Anolis sagrei: one gene and its partner. The protein of the gene in region 1 binds, or shares a complex with, the protein of each later gene. Links are inferred from orthologs where the notes say so. Each region holds a gene or a part of one and is shown in the gene's direction. Other genes may lie near its edges. The genes, in order: PRKG1 and CNN1.

Region 1 (10,035 bases):
TAAGAATGAAATGTATGGGAACACAACATATCTCATGAAAACCTTCCATTTATATATTTAATAATATAGGATTCCTTGTTTATTTCAATTACATTCACGTGACACACCTGCGCACTGCAGCCAACACACTGGGTTGTGACACACAGTTTACTTTTCTTTTTATTATATCTCTTAACTTTCGTAGTAGCCCAAGAAAGGAGGAAAGCAAAAGGAAACAGGGATAAGGGGAGATATGCCCAGTTAAATACGCAATTCCAGAGGTTAGCCAGAAGAGATAAGGAACTATTTTTAAATAAGCAATGCATGGAAGTGGAAGAAGACAACAGAATAGGAAGGACAAGAGACCTCTTCCAGAAAATTAGAAACATTGGAGGTAAATTTCAGACAAAAATTGATATGATAAGAAACAAAGATGGCAGGGACCTAACAGAAGCTGAAGAGATCAAGAGAAGGTGGCGAGACTATACAGAAGATCTGTATAGGAAGGATAATAATATTGAGGATAGTTTTGACGGTGTGGTGAATGAATTAGAACCAGACATCCTGAGGAGTGAGGTGGAATGGGCCTTAAGAAGCATTGCTAACAACAAGGCAGCAGGAGACGACGGGATCCCAGCTGAACTGTTTAAAATCTTAAAAGATGATGCTGTCAAGGTGATGCATGCCATTTGCCAGCAAATATGGAAAACACAAGAATGGCCATCAGACTGGAAAAAATCAACTTATATCCCCATACCAAAAAAGGGAAATGCAAAAGACTGCTCCAACTTCCGTACAGTGGCCCTTATTTCTCATGCCAGTAAGGTAATGCTCAAGATCCTGCAAGGAAGACTCCAGCAATACATGGAGCGAGAGTTGCCAGATGTTCAGGCTGGGTTTAGAAAAGGTAGAGGAACGAGAGACCAAATTGCCAATATCCGCTGGATAATGGAGAAAAGCAGGGAGTTTCAGAAAAACATCTACTTCTGCTTCATTGACTATTCTAAAGCCTTTGACTGTGTGGATCATAATAAATTGTGGCAAGTTCTTAGTGGGATGGGCATCCCAAGCCACCTTGTCTCTCTCCTGAGGAATCTGTACAAGGACCAAGTAGCAACAGTCAGAACTGACCACGGAACAACAGACTGGTTCAAGATTGGGAAAGGCGTACGGCAAGGCTGCATCCTCTCACCCAACCGTTTTAACTTGTATGCAGAACACATCATGCGATGTGCGGGGCTGGATGAATGCAAAGCTGGGGTGAAAATTGCTGGAAGAAACATTAACAACCTCAGATATGCAGATGACACCACTCTGATGGCCGAAAGTGAGGAGGAGCTGAGGAACCTTCTAATCAAGGTGAAAGAAGAAAGCGCAAAAGCCGGGTTGCAGCTAAACGTCAAAAAAACCAAGATTATGGCAACAAGAATGATTGACAACTGGGAAATAGAGGGAGAAACCGTGGAGGCCGTGACAGACTTTGTATTTCTAGGTGCAAAGATTACTGCAGATGCAGACTGTGGCCAGGAAATCAGAAGACGCTTACTTCTTGGGAGGAGAGCAATGTCCAATCTCGATAAAATAGTAAAGAGTAGAGACATCAGACTGGCAACAAAGATCCGCCTAGTCAAAGCCATGGTATTCCCTGTAGTCACCTACGGATGTGAGAGCTGGACCTTAGGGAAGGCTGAGCGAAGGAAGATCGATGCTTTTGAACTGTGGTGCTGGAGGAAAGTTCTGAGAGTGCCTTGGACTGCGAGAAGATCCAACCAGTCCATCCTCCAGGAAATAAAGCCCGACTGCTCACTGGAGGGAAAGATACTAGAGACAAAGTTGAAGTACTTTGGCCACATCATGAGGAGACAGGAAAGCCTAGAGAAGACAATTATGCTGGGGAAAGTGGAAGGCAAAAGGAAGAGGGGCCGACCAAGGGCAAGATGGATGGATGGCATCCTTGAAGTGACTGGACTGACCTTGAGAGAGCTGAGGGTGGTAACGGCCGACAGGGAGCTCTGGCGTGGGCTGGTCCATGAGGTCACGAAGAGTCGGAGACGACTGAACGAATGAACAACAACAAACTTAACTTTCGTGGTCTTTGGAAGTTACAGAGGCACTGTCTTTCAGGATCATTATCTGTGTGAGAAATATAGATTGGATTAAGCTGTATGTGTGCAATTTTTTATACCCAGAGCTGTCAATTAGTTGTTACAGAGCGCCATAAGGGTTTCATAAATCAGATCAGTCCTAACCTTCTATGTCTCTTATTGACTGGAAAGACTGGCAGTCCCCAAGTTACGAACAAGATGGGTTCTATAGGTTTGTTCCTAAGCTGAATTTGTTTGTAAGTCAAAATAAGTACATTTTAATGTGTAACTCCCGCCACACACACATGTTTTGGATAACATACGGAAAGGTTAACACTCTGGGGTTTATTTTGCTGTCTTTGTTCAGAAGATTTAATCTCACTTTCTGTCCCTGTGAGAATATTTTGGAACTAAGGATTGGTGAAACATCTTCAGTGGAGACAGCCTTCCCACATGATAACTCTTCCAATGGCGCTCCATGCAGTCATGCCGGCCACATGACCTTGGAGGTGTCTACAGACAACGCCGGCTCTTCGGCTTAGAAATTGAGATGAACACCATCCCCCAGAGATGACTGGACTTAATGTCAGGGGAAAACCTTTACCTTTAACTAACTCTTCCAAAAGTGAATTTCCCTTCAGAGGGGTAGATTCCTCTCCCTTCTTGTTGTCTCACCCCCGTTCTTAACTATGGACCACTTGTAAGTCTGATGTTTGTAATCCGGAGACTGTCTGTAATGTTCTTGGCATTTTCCTGCAGACCACACTATTAGTTTGGAAAACTCTGCTTCAATCAAGGTAAGGCAGTTTGAACACCACTTTTAAACTGCTATGGTTGATCAATGCTATGAAATCTTAAGTAGTTGTAGTACGGAAAAGGAGGGTAGAGAATGCTCAGAAGAACTTGCAAAAATGACAACACCCAGGCCCCTTCCACATAACCTTATAAAATCCACATTGAGGTAGATTAAATGACAGTGTGGAGCCAGATAGCCCAGTTCAAAGCATGTATTACGGATTATCTGCCTTGATATTCTGGGGGCCTTTCCACACAGCCATATAACTCAGAATATCAAGGCAGAAAATCCATACAGCTGAATAAAATCCCAAATCTTCTGCTTTGAACTGGAATATATGGCAACGTGGACACAGATAATTCAGTTCAAAGCAGACACTGTGAGATTTTCTGTCTTGATATTCTGGGTTATATTGCTGTGTGGAAAGGCCCTGTATTATATAGCTGCGTGGACTCAGATAACCCAATTTAAAGTGGATATTGTGGATTATCTGCCTTGATCTTCTGTTTTATTATATGGCTGTGTGGACTCGGATAACCCAGTTTGAAGCAAATATTATGGGATTATCTGCCTTGATATTCTGGGTTATATGACTGAGAGCCCTTCCACACAGCCATATATCCCAGGATATCAAGGCAGGAAATCCCACAATATCTGCTTTGAACTGGGTTATCTGATTCCACACTGCCATATATTGTGGCAAGTTCTTGGTGATATGGGAATACCAAATCACCTTGTCTGTCTCCTGAGGAATCTGTATAAGGACCAAGTAGCAATAGTAAGAACTGGCCATGGAACAACAGACTGGTTCAAGATTGGGAAAGGCGTACGGCAAGGCTGCATACTCTCACCCAACCTATTCAACTTGTATGCAGAACACATCATGCGACGTGCGGGGCTTGAGGAATGCAAAGCTGGGGTGAAAATTGCTGGAAGAAACATTAACAACCTTAGATATACAGATGACACCACTCTGATGGCCGAAAGCGAGGAGGAGCTGAGTAGCCTTCTAACCAAGGTGAAAGAATAAAGCGCAAAAGCTGGGTGACAGCTAAACATTAAAAAAAAAAACCAAGATTATGGCAACAAGAATGATTGACAACTGGGAAATAGAGGGAGAAAATGTGGAGGCAGCAACAGATTTTGTATTTCTAGGTGCAGATATTACTGCAGACGCAGACTGCAGCCAGGAATCAGAAGACGCTTACTTCTTAGGAGGAGAGCAATGACCAATCTTGATAAAATAGTGAAGAACAGAGACATCACACTGGCAACAAAGATCTGCATAGTTAAAGCAATGGTATTCCCCATTGTCACCCATGGATGTGAGAGCTGGACGATAGGGAAGGCTGAGCAAAAGAAGATAGATGCTTTTGAACTGTGGTGTTGGAGGAAAGTTCTGAGAGTGCCTTGGATCGCAAGAAGATCCAACCAGTCCATACTTCAGGAAATAAAGCCCGACCGCTCATTGGAGAGAAGGATAGTAGAGGCAAAGATGAAGTACTTTGGCCACATCGTGAGAAGAAAGGAAAGCTTGGAGAAGACAATTATGCTGGGGAAAATGGAAGGAAAAGGGAAGAGGGGCCAACAAAGGGCAAGATGGATGGATTGTATCCTTGAAGTGACTGGCTTGACATTGAAGTAGCTGGGGGTGTTGATAGCAGACAGGGAGCTCTGGTGTGGGCTGGTCCATGAGGTCACATAGAGTCGGAAACGACTGAACGAATGAACAACAACAACAACATCTGATTCCACACTAGGATAATGTGGGATTTATTGTCGAAGGCTTTCATGGCTGGAATCACTGGGTTGTTGTAGGTTTTTTCGGGCTATATGGCCATGTTCTAGAGGCATTCTCTCCTGACATTTCGCCTGCATCTATGGCAAGCATCCTCAGAGGTAGTGAGGTCTGTTGGAACTAGGGAAGTGGGTTTATGTATCTGTGGAATGACCAGGGTGGGACAAAGAACTCTTGTCTGTTGGAGCTAGGTGTGAATGTTTCAACTGAGCACCTTGATTAGCATTTGATGGCCTGTCAATGACTGAGGCAATCTTTTGTTGAGAGGTGATTAGATGTCCTTGTTTGTTTCCTCTCTGTTGTTGTGCTGTTCTAATTTTAGAGTTTTTTTTTAATACTGGTAGCCACATTTTGTTCATTTTCATGGTTTCCTCATTTCTGTTGAAATTGTCCACACACTTGTGGATTTCAATGGCTTCTCTGTGTAGTCTGACATGGTGGTTGTGAGAGTGGTCCAGCATTTCTGTGTTCTCAAATAATATGCTGTGTCCAGGTTGTTCATCAGGTGCTCTGCTATGGCTGACTTCTCTGGTTGAAGTAGTCTGCAGTGCCTTGGAGAGTTGGAAGCCTGGACACAGCATATTATTTGAGAACACAGAAATGCTGGACCACGCTAACAACCACCATGTCAGACTACACAGAGAAGCCATTGAAATCCACAAGCACCTGCAGGTGCAACGTCAGGAGAGAATGCCTCTAAAACATGGCCTTATAGCCCGAAAAAACCTACAACAACCTAATGTGGGATTATCTGCCTTGATATCCTGGGATAAAGGGCTGTGTGGAAGGGCCCTGAGTGGAAGGGCCACCAGTTTGTCAATAGCATCGAACTAGGGCACCCATTGGCAGGACCTGTGCTGGACAGCTAATTCTGCAAAGAAGAGGCGCCCATTGGCGGGGCCAGAGTGGTTGAAAGACACCTGTGCTTGACAGCTAACGCACGTTCTGTTGTGTGTATGTTTTTTGGACTGTTTGTGAGGCGCTCAAGCCGACTTCCCGCCAAAAATTAAAGTCTGTCAGAGAAGACTGGGAAGAGGGAAAGAAGCCCCCGCGCCTCCTCTCCCCCTCCCCCCCCCACCGCGAGCGAGCGCGCGCGCGCTTCGAACTCTCCAAGGGTTGATCTCTCTCTCTCCTCTGAGACGGAAGAGAGCGCGTGCTTCGGCGGGAAAACACGCAACACAACAAGCGGCGCGCGCCGTCTTTGGGGGGCCAGGAAGGCGCCCGGAATGCAGCCCTCTCCCTCCTTTTTCTTCTTCTTACGAGGCTGAGTTGTGCGGAGGAAGGAGGAGAAGGGGGGTGGGAGAAAGAGGGGCGGCCGTAACAGCTGAGGAGAAGGAGGAGGAGAAAGAAGAAGAGAGGCGGGGGCGCGGGCGGGATAGCGGAACGGCGGCGGCGGCGGCGGAGGGAGAGAGAAAGCGGCGGCATGCTGCAGACGCCCCTCGCGCTCCCTCCTCACTCTCCGTCTCTCTCCAGTCTGGTGGCCTGACGCAGGCAAGCAGGCGGAGAGGAGGAGGAGGAGGAGGAGGGTGGTGGGCTTCTCCCCAGGATGGGGGCTCCCTTCCCCTAGGAAGCGGCGAGTAGCAGCAACAGTCCAACAGGCAAAGTTGGCGCGAAGTGGGACGAGGCGGAGGGGGAGAGGTGGCTCCGTCGGCGGCGGCGGCGTTGGCGGCTCCCTTCGAGGATGGGGACGCTGCGGGATTTGCAGTACGCCTTGCAAGAGAAGATCGAGGAGCTCCGCCAGCGGGACGCGCTCATCGACGAGCTGGAGCTGGAGCTGGACCAGAAGGACGAGCTCATCCAGCGGCTCCAGAACGAGCTGGACAAGTACCGCTCCGTGATCCGGCCGGCCACCCAGCAGGCGCACCAGGGGGCCGCTGGAGCCCTGCCCGGGGGAGGAGGAGGAGGCGGTGGGGGTGGAGGAGGAGGAGGAGGAAGCGGAGGAGGAGGGGGCGAGCAGCGGACCAAGCGGCAGGCCATCTCCGCCGAGCCCACCGCCTTCGACCTCCAGGACCTCAGCCACGTCACCCTGCCCTTCTACCCCAAGAGCCCGCAGTAAGCACCCACCGCCTCGAGGGGTCCCTGTCTCTGTCTCTGTGTGTCTCTCTCTGTGTCTGTGTCTTGTCTGGCTTCCCCCCCATCTCTCCTTCCTCTACAATCACTTTGCGCCCACATTCCCCAGAGCCACCTTCAGGCGCACACAGCTGGATCTACACTGCCCTGTATACCAGGATCTCATCCCAAAGTATATGCTTTGGACGGGATTATATGAGTCTACACAGCCAGATAATCTGAAGTCAGATCCTGAGATATAGTGCAGTGCCCTTTTGCAGTCCCACACATAGGGAGATCTACACTGCCCTATATCTCAGTATATGCTTTGGACTGGATTATATGAGTCTACACAGCCAGATAATCTGAAGTCAGATCCTGAGATATAGTGCAGTGCCCTTTTGCAGTCCCACACATAGGGAGATCTACACTGCCCTATATCTCAGTATATGCTTTGGACTGGATTATATGAGTCTTTAAAGCCAGATAATCTGAAGTCAAATCCTGAGATATAGTGCAGTGCTCTTTGCAGTCCCACTCATAGGGAGACTCGGGGGTCCCTTGATTTACAAAGGATTCCTTACAATATTTTACAATCAAAACTATTCCATAGAAGGAACTCTTGGCTACCCTTCCCTTCTCTCTCTCTACACACACACACACACACAGTGAGGCTGGATCTACACTGCCCTATATCCCAGGATCTGATCCCAAAGTATATGCTTTGGACGGGATTATATGAGTCTACACAGCCAGACAGAGGCGGCCCTAGGTAATTTTCAACGGTAAGCAAACAGTATTTTGGCGCCCCCCCCCCCCAACCAAGCATTGATATATATTTTCTGTTTGTCATGGGAGTTCAGCGTGCCATATTTGGTTCAATCCCATCATTGGTGGAGTTCAGAATGCTCTTTGATTGTAGGTGAACTATACATCCCAGTAACTACACTTGCTGCACTTGCTCCCTTGCCTGGCCCGCTTTGGGTCCGGAGGCGTGCCTGAAGACCCCAGCGTGTGCACCAAAAGTCACCTCTTCTCCTGACTTTCTCCTCAGCCATTGGGACCAAGAGAGAGAGAGAGAGAGAGAGAGAGGTGGAGATGCCCACCTTTCCTGAAAGTAGGCGCAAAAACAAAGGAGGAAGCAGAGGTGGGAGATACCTCCAGCCGGAGGGGCTCTCTCTCTCTCTCTCTCTCTCTCTCTCTTGGTCCCAATGGCTAAAGAGAAAGTCAGGAGAAGAGGCAACTTTTGGTGCACATGCTGGGGTCTTCAGACACGCCTCCGGACCCAAAGCGGGCCAGGTGCGGCGGCTCCCCCCCTTGGCCCACCCACGGATTGGGGAGAGGAGAGGAGGCGAGTGGAGCGCTGGGGGATCGGGAAAGGGAGCCGGTCATGGGGAAGGGATCGAACGCGGAGAATGATTGAGCGCCGGCGCTGCTCATGCATCCGGTAGCCGGGTGGAGCAGGAACGAGCAGGGCGAGGCGAGGGTCAAGGGCCCGGCCCCTTTGGGATGAGGATCTCCCAGCAGTGAGGCAAGAAAGCCGAGGCTCCCCCCGGACTGCTATGGCTGTTGTGAGCTGAGGGGGTGCTCCTCAAGTGGTGGTCGAGGGGCATTTACAGAGGTGCCTCGGCGCCCCTGGCAAAAAAAAGTGTTCTGCGACCGCTTACTTCGCGTAATGGATGAGCCGCCCCTGCAGCCAGATAATCTGAAGTCAGATCCTGAGATATAGTGCAGTGCCCTTTTGCAGTCCCACACATAGGGAGATCTACTGCCCTATATCTCAGTATATGCTTTGAACTGGATTATATGAGTCTACACAGCCAGATAATCTGAAGTCAGATCTTGAGATATAGTCCAGTGCGCTTTTGCAGTCCCACGCATAGGGAGACTTGGGGGTACCTTGATTTACAAAGGATTCCTTACAATATTTTACAAACAAAACTATTCCATAGAAGGAACTCTTGGCCACCCCTCTCCTCCTCTCTCTCTCTCTCTCTCTCTCTACACAGAGTGAGGCTGGATCTACACTGCCCTATATTCCAGGATCTGATCCCAAAGTATATGCTTTGGACAGGATTATGTGAGTCTACACAGTCAGATAATCTGAAGTCAGATCCTGAGATATAGTCCAGTGTGCCCTTTTGCAGTGCCACACATAGGGAGACTTGAGGGTACCTTGATTTACAAAGGATTCCTTACAATATTTTGCAAAAAACAAAACAAAACAAAAAACTATTCCTTAGAGCAGTGGTTCTCAACCTGGGGTCCCCAGATGTTTTTGGCCTACAACTCCCAGAAATCTCAGCCAGTTTACCAGCTATTAGGATTTCTGGGAGTTGAAGGCCAAAAACATCTGGGGACCCCAGGTTGAGAACCACTGCCTTAGAAGGACCTTTTAGCCAATTTTAGTATTTTACAAAAAAAAAAACCCCTTATTTTTAGAAGGAAGTCTTAGCCATCCCCCCCCCCCCCCCTCTACACACAAAATGAGGCTGGATCTACACTGTCCTATATCCCAGGATCTGATCCCAACGTATATGCTTTGGGCCAGGTTATATGAGTCTACACAGCCAAATAATCTGAAGTCAAATCCTGAGATATAGTGCAGTGCTCTTTTGCAGTCCCACTCATAGGGAGACTTGGGGGTACCTTGATTTACAAAGAATTCCTTACAAGATTTTACAAACAAAACTATTCCATAGAAGGAACTCTTGGCCACCCTTCCCCCCTCTCTCTACACACGCACAGAGAGAGGCTGGAGCTACACTGCCCTATATCCCGGGATCTTATGCCAGAGTATTTGCTTTGGACTTGGTTATATGAGTCTATGCTCCCAGATAATCTGGGATCAGATCCTGGGATATAGGGCAGTGTCCTCTCTCTTGGCCCTTTTGTAGTCCCACACATAGGGTGACTTGGGGTACCTTGACTTACAAAAGATTCCTTACAATATTTTATAAACATTCCTTAGAAGGAACTCTTGGACACCTCTTTGTATGTATGTGTATATATATAAATACACACAACCAAACAAACACACACACACAGTGAGGCTGGATCTACACTGCGTTATATTCCAGGATATGGTCCCAGAGTATATGCTTAGAACTGGGTTATATGAGTCTAAATGCCTCCTGGTGGCGCAGTGGGTTAAACCACTGAGCTGCTGAACTTGCTGACCGAAAGGTTGGTGGTTTGAATCCTCGGGATGGGGTGAGCTCCTGCTGTTAGCCCCAGCCTCTGCCAACCTAGCAGTTTGAAAATATGCAAATGTGACTAGATCAATAGATAACAGCACTCCGTGCAGTCATGCTGGCCACATGACCTTG
Region 2 (9,962 bases), on another chromosome or scaffold:
CAACTATGTCGAAAAATAGAGTGAAGTATGTACTTTATGAAAATAAATTTACTTTTTTGAAATAAACTTTCGTTGTGTACTTACGTTCAAACGGACCTTGCTTAAAAAATACCCCTCATATAATGACCAATAGAAACAGTAAGAACTGACCATGGAACAACAGACTGGTTCAAGATTGGGAAAGGCGTACCACAGGGTTGTATCCTCTCACCCAACCTATTCAACTTGTATGCAGATCACATCATGCGATGTGCGGGGCTTGAGGAATGCAAGGCTGGGGTGAAAATTGCTGGAAGAAACATTAACAACCTTAGATATGCAGATGATACCACTTTGATGGCCAAAAGTGAGAAGGAGCTGAGGAGCCTTGTAATCAAGGTGAAAGAAGACAGCACAAAAGCTGGGTTGCAGCTAAACATAAAAAAAACCAAGATTATGGCAACCAGATTGATTGATAACTGGCAAATAAAGGGAGAAAACATTGAGGTAGTGACAAACTTTATATTTCTAGGTGCAAAGATTACTTCAGACGTAGACTGCAGCCAGGAAATCAGGAGACGTTTACTTCTTGGGAGGAGAGCAATGTCCAATCTCGATAAAATAGTGAAGAGTAGAGACATCACGGGAGCTCCTGGCGGCACAGTGGCTCAAACCACTGAGTTGCTAAGCTTGTTGACCGAAAGGTCACAGGTTCGAATCCAGGGAGCAGCATGAGCTTCCACTGTTAGCCCCAGCTTCTGCCAACCTAGCAGTTCGAAAACATGCAAATGTGAATAGATCAATAGGTATCGCTCCAGTGGGAAAATAGCCTGGGGGCTATAACTCTTAATGAGAGAGGCATGGACGTGGCATCTTTCCCCAGGGGATTGTTTCTTGCCCTCCTATAGGAAACTGGAACTACCAAAGACCGAAACACAACAGATAACTCGAAATGGTATTTATTGTTCACAATGAGTTATCTTTCTCAGGCATAAGCTTGATGTTTCAACAGGGATAAAGGAAATATACTTTACAATCTCTGAAGTCCAAGGAGTTTGTAGCTGAGAAGCTTTTCCTGTTTCCTCTTTCCTCAATGGCTGTGAATGCCGGAGCAAACCACAACCCCAGTTCAAATGGCCTATGTTTGAAGACCCAGGATCTTCCTCTGGTGCCAAAAGAACCGGTTTGAAGGCGCTTGAAACTTCTAACGTCGTTCAGGTTGGTCTGAACATGAAGCATAAGTCTCAAGGGTAAAAAACCTCAGAACTGTTGCTGAGAGGTAATTTAAGCAGGGGCTTTTAGAGCCAAGTCTCTTACTCACGTCCATCCGATAGAAACTCTGATGGCAGAATGAAAAGGGAAGCACTCCCCTCCTCCAGGAAGAGGCGGAGCCAAACAATACAGGTATAAACAACAGTTTAAATCTTGCAACAGTTCTACACATAGGTGGCGCCACTCGCGCCATCACATATTTACTTCATTTCTACCCCGCCTTTCTCGACCCTGAAGAGGACTCAAGGTGGCTTACAAATCTGGCAAAAATTCAATGCTGCACAGGTAAACAATAAAATACAACCCAGGTCACCTTATCAACAACAACAATGCTCAGGTCTTCCAGGCTCAGATCCGTGGCTTCCTTATCAAGTTTATTCACTTCTTTTCTGATTACCTTCTATTTAACAAGTGTTATTGTCTTTTCTTGCTTTTCCATTATAGACCGAAGTACCGCATCCTCCGTTTAGTCATCTTAGCTTCTAAAAGAATTCAAGATTTTTTTCTAGGATCCATTTATTTGTCCTTTTAGCAATCCATGGTAACATGGAACTCTTTTACACAACCACATTGCATATGAGCTGATGTTCTACCCATCTGCTTTCTTCACTGTCTTGCTTTCACAACCATAGATAGAAATGGTAAATACAAAGACATGGACAATCCTAACTTTAGTATTCTATGATATATATCCTTCAAGATCTTGTCTAATTTTTTTATAGTTGGCCTTCCAATTTCTCAACTACAGCCTCCATTCTGATTAATGACTGAGCCAAGGTGTGGAAAAACTTGAATTATTCCAACACCTGTCTACTTTAAAGGTATATAAATCATTTTTATTTTCTTAATGTTGAGCTATAAACCTGCCATTGCACTTTCTTTCTTTAGTGATCATTCCAAGACTTTGCTATTTTCTCCTAGTAATATTGCATCATCTACATATCTTAAATTGTTGATGTTCCTTCCTCAAGTATTCATGCCTCCTCCTTCTGCATCTAATTCGCTTTAGATATGTTATGTTCAGCATTTGAGTATAATCGATGAAATGGCTTAGCTCCTTACAAACAGGAAGCCATTCAGATGCTCCATATTCTGTTCTTAACAGTAGCCTCTTGTTTTTAGTACAAAACAATCAAATGTTAGGGCATACCCATTTCTTTAAGAGCAATCCATAGTTTTTTATCTATATAAATACAAATGTAATGTTTGTTTGTGGGATTAACAGAACTCAAAAACCACTGGACAAATTGACACCAAATTTGGACAGCATACACCTAACAACCCAATGTATGTCCTTCACTCAAAAAAATTGATTTTGTCATTTGGGAGTTGTAGTTGCTGGGATTTATAGTTTATTTACAATCAAAGAGCATTTTGAACTCCACCAATGATGGAACTGAACCAATCTTGGCAGACAGAACTCCCATGACCAAGAGAAAACACTAGAAGGGTTTGGCGGGCATTGATGAGTTTGGGAGTTGTAGTTCACCTACATCCAGAGAGCACTGTGGACTCTTGGTCATGGGGGTTTTGTGTGGGATGTTTGCCCCAATTCTGTTGGTGGGGTTCAGAACGCTCTTTGATTGTAGGTAAACTATAAATCCCAGTAACTACAACTCCCAAATGTCAATGTCTATTTCCCCCCAACTCCATCTGTGTTCATATTTTGACATATGGAATATTTGTGCCAAGTTTGGTCCAGATCTATCATTGTTTAAGTCCACAGTGCTCTCTGGATGCGGGTGAACTACAACTCCCTAACTCAAGGCCAATGTCCACCAAACACTTCTAGTGTTGTTTGTTGATCATTGGAGTCCTGTATGCCACATTTGGTTCAATTCCATCATTGGTGGAGTTCAGAATGCTGTTTGATTGTAGGTGAACTATAAATCCCAGCAACTACAACTCCCAAATGACAAAATCAAATTTTTTGAGTGAAATACATACATTGGGTTGTTAGGTTTATGCTGTCCAAATTTAGTGTCAATTTGTCCAGTGGTTTTTGAGTTCTGTTAATCCTACAAATGGACATTACATTTTTATTTATATAGACAAGAAAGGATATTCCATCTGAACATGAGGAAGAACTTCCTGTCTGTGAGAGCCATTCAGCAGTGGAACTCTCTGCCCCAGAGGGTGGTGGAGGCTCCCTCTTCCAACTCTATGATTCTATGTCAAGGTCTATTTCCCCCAAACATTACATTTTTATTTATATAGATTAGTGTTTATTTAATGGGAAGGGTGTTCTTACACTTGCTAAAAGTACTGCTGCTCCTTAGCAAAAAGGTTCTAATTCCCCATTTCTGTCTCCTGTCATCCTGAAAGTGGTCCATCTTTTTCTTTAAAAGCATGCCATATTAAATGCACATTTTAAATATTTTCGCAGCAGGCACCACGTGCTTTTGAAAACACATCTCAACAATGTATTGTCGAAGGCTTTCATGGCTGGAATCACTGGGTTGTTGTAAGTTTTTCTGGGCTATATGGCCATGTTCTAGAGGCATTTTCTCCTGACGTCTCGCCTGCATCTATGGCAACCATCCTCAGAGGTAGTGAGGTCTGCTGAAAGTAGGAAAATGGGTTTATATATCTGTGTAATTATGGCATTATGGCAACAAGATTATGGCAACAAGAATGATTGACAACTGGAAAATAGAGGGAGAAAATGTGGAGGCTGTGACAGACTTTGTATTTCTAGGTGCAAAGATTACTGCAGATGCCGACTGTGGCCAGGAAATCAGAAGACGCTTACTTTTTGGGAGGAGAGCAATGTCCAATCTCGATAAAATAGTAAAGAGTAGAGACATCAGACTGGCAACAAAGATCCGCAGAGTCAAAGCCATGGTATTCCCTGTAGTAACCTACGGATGTGAGAGCTGGACCTTAGGGAAGGCTGAGCGAAGGAAGATCGATGCTTTTGAGCTGTGGTGCTGGAGGAAAGTGCTGAGAATGCCTTGGACTGCGAGAAGATCCAGCCAGTCCATCCTCCAGGAAATAAAGCCCACTCACTGGAGGGAAGGATACTAGAGACAAAGTTGAAGTACTTTGGCAACATCATGAGGAGACAGCAAAGCCTAGAGAAGACAATTATGCTGGGGAAAGTGGAAGGTAAAAGGAAGAGGGGCTGACCAAGGGCAAGATGGATGGATGGCATCCTTGAAGTGACTGGACTGACCTTGAAGGAGCTGGGGGTGGTGACAGCCGACAGGGAGCTCTGGCGTGGGCTGGTCCATGAGGTCACGAAGAGTTGGAGACGACTGAACGAATGAACAACAAAATCTGTGAAATGACCACAGATATCTCAACAAGCTCTTTTGGCCAGGAATGTTTGTTGGTTCACATACCCTCAACCCCCCCCCCCCCCCATCTGAATTCTCAGCAGCAAGAGCTAAGCTACATTCAGCAAGGATTTCTTATCTAGAAATATCAGACTCTTGAAGTCGACAGTCAGATCTGTTTAGGGGGAAAGTGTCACGTTAAACTGTTCCATGCAGAAACTTTGGGGAAAGTTCTTTGCAGGAAAAGAAACGGAGCCCTACCAGCTGCCAAAGCAACATGTGAGTTGAAAAAAAACCAAACAAGATGACGAGGCAAAGGGAACTGGTGCAGAAAAGTCCAGGGAGGCCTGGCCAGACAGCCAACAAAGCGCTTCCCCCTGAGTGACTGGACTCGAATTTTCTAGCTTGTTCTTTTGCGGTTTTGAGGCATGAAAAAAAAGGAAAGTGAGTGGCGTAGATGCTTTCCTTGGGAAAGATGCTGAAAGAGAAGGGGGGCTTCCCCACAGATGAACAGCCACACAGAAGCAGAAAGCTGGGGAAGACACAGAAGTAGTGGAGTGAGAGGGGCAGGGGGCAGTGCCACAAGGGGCAGGGGGAGAGCTATGGGCTGGGGATGCTCTGCCAACTGGTCCCATCCCATCACTGCTTCCCCACTTCTCACAGATTCGGGCTCCTGTAAATATTTAGAATATCTCAGGGAATTGAGTCAGCAGCAGAAGTGGATATGTGTCCCCCCCCCAACCCCACAGCACCCCCTCCAAGGTGGAAAAAATGACACCATCATTTCTTAATACCAACAGGCTGACATCAGCATCCCTGGCAGGTGGCGATTGGCCACGCAGCCGGGCCAATGGAAGGACTCCCCCTCAGATAGGAGGAGGGGGAGAGCCGGAGAGCAATGAGTTTTTAAAAGTTGCAGGGAAAGCCGGTGGAGAGGCAGAGCCGACGTGCACCACGGAGAGCACCCAACCCCACTGAGGAGCAGCACCATCACTGCCACCAGCACCACACGTGGGCAATATGTCTGCAACACACTTCAACCGGGGCCCAGCCTATGGCATGTCAGCTGAAGTCAAGAATAAGGTAAGGGAAGTACTGCTGGAGGTGCTGACCTAGCACTGGGAGTTCACTCCATGGGAAGGTGGTTCTTGATTGAGAGGATGGGGACAGTACCAGTTGGCTTGCGGATCTAGTGGTATCAGGATGCCCGCAAGTCTAGGGCACCTAAGTGCGTGCCATGGTCTTTCTTGGTAGGTACTGGCTGGCATCAGTCTTATGGTGCTGTCCAAATATTTTCAGCTACATCTCCATCATCCAAGGCTAGGTGACTGGGAGTGATGGGGGTTATAATCCAAGGCATTGTGTGGGAAACCAACGTGAACCGGACAAAAAAAGGCCACACATTCACATAATAATTCTGAGTGATGAATATGTCAGAGTTTTGGCTAAAATGTTTTGGAGTGAACAAAGTCAATGTTAATATAACAGGTAGAATTTGTGTAGCTCTTTTTACAAATTTTTATTTATTTATGTATTTCTCGCACTTCTACCCAGCCCTTCTCAACCCCCGAGGGGGGACTCAGGGTGGCTTACAAAAAGGCACAATTTGACGCCGGCAGAACAACAAGGTGAAAAATAACACATATAAATAGTAATTAAAACAATCCATTTTACATCACAATCCCTAAAAACAATCTAGTGCTCAACGTTTATCAGCTCAGAGTCCGTAAATTCAAATTCCATATTGTCCAATCCATCAATTCTAGTCGTCACTTGTCCCTTATCTATCCGCCAGATTACCCGAAGGCCTGGTCCCAAATCCATGTTTTTAATTTCCTTCTAAAGGAGAGGAGGGATGTTGATGACCTAATTTCCCCAGGGAGTGAGTTCCACAGGTGAGGGGCCACCACTGGGAAGGCCCTGCTCCTCGTCCCCACCAATCTCACTTGTGATAGAGGTGGGGCCAAGAGCAGTGCCTCCCCAGAAGATCTTAAACTCCGAGGCGGGACGTAGAGGGAGATGCGTTCGGACAGATACGCTGGGCCAGAACCATATAGGGTTTTATAGGTCTAAACCCGCACTTTGCATTGTGCTCGGAAGTGGATCGGCAGCCAGTGGAGCTGACATAACAGAGGGGTGGTATGCTCCCTGTATGATGCTCCGGTGAGTAATCTAGCTGCTACCCGCTGGACTAATTGAAGTTTCCGAACAGTCTTCAAAGGCAACCTCAAGTAGAGTGCGTTGCAGTAATCTATTCGGGATGTAATGAGAGCGTGGACCACTGTGGCCAGATCAGACTTCCCAAGGTACGGGCGCAACTGGTGCACAAGTTTTAATTGTGCAAAAGGTCTCCCGACCACCGCCGAGACCTGGGGTTCCAGGCTCAGTGATGAGTCCAGGATCACTCCCAAGCATGTGTGTTTACCTTGAAGTCACCTGTCCACCTATGGTGACCCCATGAGTTTACTAGGGTTTTCTTAGGCCAGGAATATTCATATGGTTTTGACAGTTCCTTCATGTAGCACCTGGTGTTCGTTGGTCATCTCCCATCAAGATATTACTCAGGGCTGACTCTGCTTAGTTTCCAAGATCAGACAAGAACTGGTGCCTCAACACTATTTAGGCATAGATAACAGCCTGGGACGATCCTATTTTCCTGAAGGAGTCGGAGGCACCAAAAGCTAGTTTGCTGTAAGTGGATTCAAGGCATCAAACGAAAGCAAAGTATTATTCTTGGAACACACATGTTCAAACTGATTCACAAACATTCTTTCAGACTCATTAATCCTTACAAGACATCTATATAAATAAAAATGTAATGTTCGTTTGTGGGATTGACATAACTGAAAAACCACTGGGTGAATTGACACCAAATTTGGACACAAGACACGTATGAGGCCAACGAGTGACTATCACTCATAAAAACACTGAAAAACACAGTGGAAGAGACTTAAAAAGCAAAAAAAAAAAATTACAACGCATGCGCATAACCACACACACGCACACACATATATATACACATATACACAAATATATATACATACACAGACCGGGGCCACAGCAACGCGTGGCAGGGGACAGCTAGTCTTTATAAGTAAAAATGTAATGTTCGTTTGTGGGATTAACAGAACTCAAAAACCACTGGACGAATTGACGCCAAATTTGGACACAAGACACCTAACAACCCAATGTATGTTCTTCACTCAAAAACATTGATTTTGTCATTTGAGAGTTGTAGTTGCTGGGATTTATAGTTCAACTACAATCAAAGAGCATTCTGAACCCCACCAACGATGGAATTGAACCAAACTTGGCACACAGTTCTCCCCTGACCAACAGAAAATATTGGAAGGGTTTGGTGGGCAATGTCCTTTGGTTTTGGAGTTGTAGTTCACCTATATCCAGAGATCATTGTGGACTCAAACAATGATGGATCTGGACCAAACTCTACATGAAACCTCAATATGCCCAAATGTGAACATGGTGGAGTTTGGGGAAAATGAAACTTCAGGAGGTATTTCACACAGATAGAAGGAGAACCTCAGATAGGTTTCTATCCCACACTGACCAGATCCATGGTGGTAGCATGGGGGGTTGGGGGGAGGCAGGTTTAAAACCAAGGTGTTGTTCCCCAAATAAGAATGTTGTCCCACATGACATTTTCCTTCCTTCAATACCCAAATTACAATAACTCAGTTTAGCAGTTTAAAGATAGAGTTTAGTCATCCAAAGCAAAGGGGCAGGCACAATTCCCAAGTGAATGCCAACACAACAAACAGAGGATTTCTAAGTGGATTCCATCTGAACATTAGGAAGAACTTCCTGACTGTGAGAGCCGTTCAGCAGTGGAACTCTCTGCCCCGAAGTGTGGTGGAGGCTCCTTCTTTGGAAGCTTTTAAACAGAGGCTGGATGGCCATCTATCGGGGGTGCTTTGAATGCAATTTTCCTGCTTCTTGGCAGGGGGTTGGACTGGATGGCCCATGAGGTCTCTTCCAACTCTAGGATTCTATGAAATGATTTTCAGTGTCTCGCTCTCTGCAATACTAGCAATTTGAGGACTGAAATAACATTTCATGAAGGGAGGCAAAAATCTTATTGATGGGGCAATATCATCAACCCACATATAGATATAGATATATACATATAGATATAGATGGCTACAGAGGCGGCCCTAGGTAATTTTCAACGGTAAGCAAACAGTATTTTGGCACCACCCCCCCCCCCCCCCCCCGCCTAACCAATCACTGATATATATTTTCTGTTCGTCGTGGGAGTTCTGTGTGCCATATTTGGTTCAATTCCATCATTGGTGGAGTTCAGAGTGCTCTTTGATTGTAGGTGAACTATACATTCCAGTAACTACAACTCGCATGTGTCAAAGTCTATCTTCCCCCAAGAGCGCCTCAAGAGCGCCCCTGGGCAAAATCAACTATACTGCAAATGCTTACTTTGAGTAATGGGTTGAGCCGCCCCTGGATGGCTACAACCCTGACCAGGCCAAAACCTACATCTTCTAGGCATCCACACACTTCTTGCTTGGACAAGCAATTCTCCTCCTTGCAGGTTAGGTATCTGAGGGCTAAGGAGATTCATTAGGTTCATCCCAAGAAGCTGGCAAGACACACTGCAGCACCTTGCAGTGGTCAGCAAGTGTTGCCAAAGCACATAAGTGTGCAATACAGTTGCCGAGATAGGATATCCGCCAAGAGATAGTGCGATGACTGTTTCAGTTGTCTGGCTGTTGTTGCCATTTGGATGGCGAAGGATGAGAGTCTGACCATTCCATGGCTTGAATTACAAGGTGAACAGACTCTTCAAACTTCGTTCTCTTCATTTTGAGAGGAATCCCTGGGGTTGGCCTCTGCTCCTTCCTCGAGAAGCTTCTGGGTTGCTTGGGAAGCCTTCTCATTCAGGATTTCACAGCCTCTCAACTGGAGGAGGCTTTTCTTCTCCCATTGTCTTCTGCCTATCTTATACTATGAGAGAGAAAGAGAGCATGGGCAAATATTGATGCTTACTATTGGAATAAAGATACTAGATACTTTTTCAGAGGGTCAGTGTCAGGAGGCATTCATTACAGATTTTGGACCAGTCCAAATCGATGGCCAGAACACTTAGAACAGTGGTTCTCAACCTTGCTAATGCCATGACCCCTTAATACAGTTCCTTATGTTGTTGTGACCCCCAACCATACTGGCCATGAACCAGTATGGTTCTCAACCTTGCTAATGCCATGACCCCTTAATACAGTTCCTTATGTTGTTGTGACCCCCAACCATACTGGCCATGAACCAGTATGGTTCTCAACCTTGCTAATGCCATGACCCCTTAATACAGTTCCTTATGTTGTTGTGACCCCCAACCATACTGGCCATGAACCAGTATGGTTCTCAACCTTGCTAATGCCATGACCCCTTAATACAGTTCCTTAT

The links.
Region 2: PRKG1 (region 1) and CNN1 share a complex: the UniProt entries of both Homo sapiens proteins name them as parts of the cGMP kinase signaling complex. The link is inferred for Anolis sagrei from reciprocal best matches to the Homo sapiens genes PRKG1 and CNN1.

The regions. Positions count from the first base shown.
Region 1 is NC_090023.1:181,874,352-181,884,386, reverse strand, and holds the start of PRKG1 (cGMP-dependent protein kinase 1), read left to right. Parts: upstream 1-6,023; 5' UTR 6,024-6,338; coding exon 6,339-6,709; intron 6,710-10,035. UniProt on the Homo sapiens protein: Serine/threonine protein kinase that acts as a key mediator of the nitric oxide (NO)/cGMP signaling pathway. GMP binding activates PRKG1, which phosphorylates serines and threonines on many cellular proteins.
Region 2 is NC_090022.1:163,337,204-163,347,165, reverse strand, and holds the start of CNN1 (calponin-1), read left to right. Parts: upstream 1-5,422; 5' UTR 5,423-5,549; coding exon 5,550-5,612; intron 5,613-9,962. UniProt on the Homo sapiens protein: Thin filament-associated protein that is implicated in the regulation and modulation of smooth muscle contraction. It is capable of binding to actin, calmodulin and tropomyosin. The interaction of calponin with actin inhibits the actomyosin Mg-ATPase activity.